2 linked regions of the Coturnix japonica genome follow. The main gene of each other region encodes a partner of the protein of the gene in region 2 in a complex. Links are inferred from orthologs where the notes say so. Each region holds a gene or a part of one and is shown on either strand. Other genes may lie near its edges. The genes, in order: TIMM9 and TIMM10.

Region 1 (3,440 bases), about 42 Mb from region 2:
ATGAAATAGCAGTGAGTTGTCACTCTGCCGTAGCAGGAACCTGCCTGTAGGATCTCAGCTATCAAGATCCTTTCAAAAGCAGCAGTGTTTATTCCTGAGCCAACAGCACACAATCAGAACAGTTTTCTCAGACTTTGCTCTGCAGTCATTCAGCAGCAGATAAAAAGGCATCGCCTTGTACGTATCTATTCACACTTAATTGTGTGAATGCCAACAGAAAGGAGGAACTTGCCAGCAAGCTCCGTGCTTGGAGCACATCGTGCTTACAGCCAGCAGCAAAGCCAGTTCTGGAGGAACACTGGGTCCCCCAGAGAGAAACAAGGAGTGCTGAGACAATGCCTTTGGCAAAGGTGCTGTTAATGACACATTACTGTCACTTGTGAATGACCTGGTGAAGCATAAGGCCAACATAACCTAGGGACAAGCTGGCAGGTTCCCCTGCCTACCAGAACTCATTAGTTACAGCAGCTGACTGCTGCTTACAGTAGCTCTTGGCCTGAAGCTCTAATAGGCTGCAGTCAGAAAGATCGTAAGGCTTTAAGAGAGCAGCTGGCAATGAAACAAAAGTTCTCCCCAAATTGAGAGATGTAACATTCACAAATCCCCACCTGCTAAAACCAATTAATTGAGTTATCTATCAGTCAGCAGCTTCAAGCAGCAAAGAATGAATGAGACTCCATAGGAGGATGGTGAGGAATAAAACTGCAAACAAAGCATGGCTCTCAAACAGCATCCTAAATTACCTGTGGAAAAAACATACATACAACTGTATGGTTCCATATATTTTACTTGAATTAAATTAAAAAACGTATTTTCGCATTACACTTCTTTTGCCTCTGAATCAGTCCTAACAGAAGGAAAAGCATAACTTTCCCCTCCCTTTGAAATTGCAATATAGTGGTCTGTGGGCCCTGACAATACACTGCAGAGTGGAATGAGAGTCTCAGAAAGAGACTCTGCTGTCAGACAGCGCTCCCTAACTCTTTGCATTACCCTCCGTGGCTTCCAGCTTCCAAACAGCATCTAGAACAACCTTCAGAGTTTCTGGACATGCATCTTGACAGTAGAAAATCCAAAAGGTGTTCTTGCCCAGTGAACACTGGCACTGCTTATGAAGTCTGAACAGAGTGCTCCTGTCTAACGAGGTTGGCTGAGCAGTCCTGCTTTAGCTGCCAGAGCTTCGTTCTGCTGTATGTGATACTCCTGAAATCTCATGGAGATCCTCTGTGTCATTTTCAGATACTTCTGTAGGCAATGTTCTGAGCAAGTTATCTGCAGGGAGAGAAAAACAGCTTCAAAGAGTGATGAAAAACCACAGCAGAACTTAAGTGCAATAGTCAGGTTTGTAAGATTGGTTGACTACATCTCATGCTCTGTGTTAGGCTCACAGCTCAGGATTTAATTGTTCACAGTCTCTCTATGCAGTAGAAAACGATAAGCTTAAGTTTTTGAGGAATGCTTGAAATGTCTTTTAATTGCACTCTCATAAAAAGGTCTTCATGGAAAACACCTTAGAGCTAGGAGATATTAACGCTTCATCCTTGGGCTGCTCTTGTGAAATGAAGTACGTAAAGGATTTTATTTTGCAGTAAACACTAAACCTGAGAAAAGGTTTTTTAGGTTCCCCCCTTTTTTTCTGAATCCAGGTTTGCAAACACCTATTTTTGACAGCCAAATCTGCTCCACTGCGTGTTAGCTCAGGTTAATCTCTTTTTGACCTTGTTCCTATTAACTCTAGCAGTCGTCTTGCACCAGCCTGGTTCACCTTCACAGAACAGCCCTAAACTTCCTTCCTTCCTTCCCTCTCTCTCTTTCTCTCTCTTTCTTTCTATTGTAAAGGAAAAAGCCATGGGATCTATTTCTGAGTTACAGTTCTACCAGTCAGATATTTTGGTTCCAAACCTTTCAATCACTGTAGAAGTCATCACGCTTAGATAGAAAAGAAAGATGAAAGCTCTGCATGATTAACAGAAAACCAGAAACTGCTTTGATTCTGCTCAGTATAAAGGGATGCAGAAAGCAGAGAGGAAGAGAAAAGACACAGAACCTGCAGATGTACACTCTCTCCATTCCACTTTCTCTTTCTCCCTCCCTGACCTGGCATCAGTTACAGTAAAACCTGTTAAGCAGGAGTTAAGTCTGACCAGGAAACAAATGCTGTTCAATTCTAAAAGCACCCCAAGCCACATCTCCCAGAGGGCGTGGTGTTTGTGATACCCTGCCTGGGGAAGTCTAGACTTGCAGTGCAGAGTGTTGTATGGAAGGAGGGCAGCAGCTGCTTGTACAAATGCAGCATCTCCAAGGAGATCCGTGGAGGCGTTTGGCTTAATTATTAAAGAGCTATAACTTTAAATAGGGAATTATGATCAGAGCAGACCAGTCATCCATTTAGACCAGTATCCCATATCCACGAGGGCCACAACCAGATGCTTTGGAAAAGCATCTTGTATAGCTCAGGCAGCTAAAAAGGAGCTGGTGAAAGGCAATGGCAAGACTTTATTCAGAGTAGTTCTGACCACCTGCAGTCAAGAGAATTTCCAGCAAAGCAAATGCAGGAGATATCATGGGAACAAAGAATCAGTCCTGGGAAGCCAGGAGAGCTTGGTTTAATGCAGCAAAACAAAAGCTGAGCAGAGAGATGATTTTTGCCTGCACTGAGAGGCAGCTGTTAAACTAAGGAGGCAGAAAATGCTCCAACAAAGTGGCTGGTTTCAGTCTTTATGTGTGGTTTAGTTGGGTTTTGGATTGTTTTTCCTTCCTGGTAGCAGGAAAGCTAGAGTTAAACAAAGCTATTAAGTCTTCTAACCAACATAATTATACCACTCTGAAGCAGCCACCCAACAAGCCATGAAAAACAAGGAGAACGTAACTCATCTGATCCAGAGCCTTTTCTTTTGGCAGATGAGTACATGATGGAGCTCCCCGTTGTCATCGTTTTGTAATTTTAGGGAACTGGACTGAACAGCCAGAGCTGTGGGGGCAAACATTTCTACCAGCACATCTCTCTTCTCACTTGGAAGCTGTGTGCCAGAACACCTCCACTGACAGCTAACGAGCTTTCCAGCTAACTGAAAGATCAGACTTTCCAAATTGCTTCTGAAGTTTGAGTACTAAACAGAAATTCTACCCAAAGGGTAATTAAAAGCACAGGAAACATTGACATACCTCTTCTGGTTTAACTTCTCTGGTGGTGAAATCCCTTATACAATCCATGAAGCAGCTTTCTGTAATTTTATTATATGTTCCCAGGAACTCCTTGAACTGCAGTAAAAATTAAAAACACCATCAGCATTAAAAAAATTAAATCTCTATTGTTTTCTTATACACAGCTCCATGAGCTGTTTGGTGATGGTAACGTTCCAATGACAGCTCACCAGGAAAACTTAGTGCCCATTAACAGGTTCAGCATAAAATCCTGTGTTTAAATAGGTCCAAAATGC
Region 2 (2,644 bases):
GACCCACAAGCTGTGAGGACAGTGAGTGTGCGCGCAGCCTGACCCACTTCCAGCCAGCCCCGGGGACACACCGGCACAGGCGCACTGTGTGTGTACGGGTGGATGGACACACAGTGCCCACCCCCAGGCTGGGGTGTCTCTGGCTGGGTGTTCCCATCTAGTAACCCTGTGCAGGTCTTCCCTACACATGTGTGCACATCTGTATGTGTGGCTCTGGGGTTGTTTCCATCCAGGTGTCCCCCCCTAAGTGTCCCCACGTGGGTGTCCCTGTGTGGTCCTTTTCCAGGTGTGGAAAGGGCACTGTCCCTCTCCAGCCATCCATACCAAATGTCTCTGTGCCTGTCCCCATGCAGGTGTGCTGTTTTCTCACTGCCCCCCTGCAGGTGTCCCTTTGTGGCCATTTCTCCAGGTGCTCCCCAGTGTCCCCCCAGCAAGCAGAGTGAGGGGCACAGCCCTGTCCTGACCCCATAAGGGATAAGGAAGGTTTCAGCCTATCCCCGAGGCTGACGTGGGCACAGCAGACACGCCGGGGTGCCCCCATCTCCAGTAGGTTAGTGGGACACCCCCTGACACAGCACCACAGACGGGTTTGGGGGGCCGAGGGAAGCACACAGCTGGCCCAGAGCCTCCAGTTTATTGGTACGATGGGAAGGGGAGTCCGAAGGGAGGGCTCAGGCGGTGCCCGTGCCCTGCTGCATGCGCTTCAGGAGCTCCTCGTCCTGCAGCGACAGCTCCGTCAGCTTCTTGCCCATCCGCTCGTGCACATCCAGGTACTTGGCCACGCAGCGGTCCAGGCACACGCTCTCGCCTTTCGACAGCTCCGCCTCCTTGTAGTGTGGGGGCACGCACTTGAGGTGACACGCCTGCGTCATCCTGAGGGACAACACCGTCACCCCACGGCTCTGCCCGGCACCCCCCACCCCCGGCACCCGCACAGCCCCCGCACAGCCCCCACCCGCGACACCCACGCGCCTCTCGCTCTCCCAGCCCCTCCCTGTCCCGGGCACTACCCCCAGGCCCCGGCCCGTCCCGTCAGGCCGCGCACCGGTTGTACATGTCGGCCATCATGTCCACCTCCAGCTCTGCCGCCAGCTGCTGTGCCCGCAGCGGGTCCATGTCGCTCCCGCACCGCGCTCCCGCAGGATGCACGTGGGACGCGCTTCCGCCCACACGCTCAGGCGCTCCGCCCCGCCGCCGCTCTCGGTCAATAGGAGACGGGTGGGGGCGGGACAACGGCTCGTTCTCAGCGCTGATGGGACGTGGGGAGCGGTGCGGAGCGGGGTGGGCGGGGGCAGGCGATGGAGGGCAGGGATGGATCGGGGCCGGCCCGGCCCACGCGTGACCTCCGCGTGTCCCCGTGGGTCTGCCCTCACGGCTCTGCCCCCTCGTGTCTGTGTCTGCTACGGGTCTATGGCCCCGTGTCCCTCTATGTCAATGTGTCCCCTATGTCCCCCCACAGATCAGGGCACTCTGTGTTCCCTTTGTCACCCTTCTCTCCCATATATGTGTCCCCCGTGTCCCCTCGTGTCCCACGCATCACCCATCTCCTCCATGTGCCGTGTCTCCGTGCCCACTCGTGACCCTCATATCCCCCCGATATCGCCTCCACGTCCCCCCATGTCCTCACGTGCACGCGTCCCCCCGTGTCCGTGTCCCTGTGTCCCCGTTCCATCCCGCAGTCCCCGCTATCCCCAGGCCCCGCCCGGCCTCCTCTCCCCCCCGTCCCGTCCCGTCCCCTCCCCGCTGTGCCCCTCTCCGGCCCCCGACCCGCCCCGTCGGCGCTGACTGAAGGCGGCACCTGCGGCGGTCACACGGCCGCGGGGAGAGCGGAGAGCGGTGAGCCGGGATATGGGGCGCCGGGGGGCTGGGGGGGACGTCGGGGGTTTGGGGTGAGAAACGAGGATAGGACGGGATGGAGGGGGGTCGGGGTTGGGGGTAGGGAGTGAGTTGTGGAGTTGGGACTGAGCTGGAGGAGCTGGGAGGGGGCAGGAGGAAAACATGAATGGGGAATGGGTTGGGTTGGGGTGTGCAGGGGGGAGGGAGGGGTTTGGGGACAGGAGTGGGGGGTGGGGGTTGGGTCGAGGTGGATGGGAAGGGATAAATAATGGGGATGGGATGGGGACTGGGAGCTGTGTTGGGGCCGATGGGGTGGGCGGGCAGGAGGAACGCTGAGGGACAGAAGTGCAATGGGATTGCATGGGGTGGAAGGCACGGTGGATACTTCAGTGACAACCCTGCAGCCCACAGTAGGAGCATGGAGTCCACAACAACCGATGGAGCCCCAACCCCAAATGACACTGCCCTGGGTGACCTCACACAGACATCAACAGGGCCCACAGAGGGGATGGTGGGGGGGGACAGCGGGGAAAGTGCAGCACAGGAAGGGCAGGGGGAGGCTGGGGGGGATGAAGGGGGCGCTGGGGGGGAGAGTGCAGGGGATACGAGGATTGGGGGCGAGGTAGAAGCAGAGAAGAACTGTGGGAGTGAGGCTAAGGGGGAGGCAGTAGGGGATGCTGTGAGTGAGGTCAGCATGGCAGGAGATGCTGGGAGTGAGGCTAAGGGGGAGGATGCAAGGGATGCTGTGGGTGAAGCTAAAGGGGAGGCTGCAAAGGATGCTGAGAGTGAGGCTAAGGGGGACACTGTA

What was found.
Region 1: the proteins of TIMM10 (region 2) and TIMM9 are in contact, whole or in part, in a crystal structure (PDB 2BSK), measured with the Homo sapiens proteins. The link is inferred for Coturnix japonica from reciprocal best matches to the Homo sapiens genes TIMM10 and TIMM9. Residues at the interface, in NP_036588.1 of Homo sapiens: Glu16, Met17, Asp20, Met21, Arg24, Ala28, Cys29, Lys32, Cys50, Arg53, Cys54, Ser56, Lys57, Tyr58, Asp60, Ile61, His62, Arg64, Met65, Gly66, Lys68, Leu69, Leu72; in NP_001291414.1 of Homo sapiens: Lys15, Leu18, Gly19, Tyr21, Asn22, Lys23, Thr25, Glu26, Cys28, Phe29, Leu30, Val33, Asp35, Phe36, Thr37, Thr38, Arg39, Glu40, Val41, Glu45, Thr46, Glu50, Leu53, Leu57.

Annotation. Positions count from the first base shown.
Region 1 is NC_029520.1:50,197,579-50,201,018, reverse strand, and holds the end of TIMM9 (mitochondrial import inner membrane translocase subunit Tim9), read right to left. Parts: intron 3,262-3,440; coding exon 3,166-3,261; intron 1,273-3,165; coding exon 1,138-1,272; 3' UTR 770-1,137; downstream 1-769. UniProt on the Homo sapiens protein: Mitochondrial intermembrane chaperone that participates in the import and insertion of multi-pass transmembrane proteins into the mitochondrial inner membrane.
Region 2 is NC_029520.1:7,775,181-7,777,824, forward strand, and holds TIMM10 (mitochondrial import inner membrane translocase subunit Tim10), read right to left. Parts: upstream 1,185-2,644; 5' UTR 1,117-1,184; coding exon 1,046-1,116; intron 874-1,045; coding exon 672-873; 3' UTR 585-671; downstream 1-584. Other genes in the region: SMTNL1 (smoothelin-like protein 1), read left to right, coding at 2,144-2,644.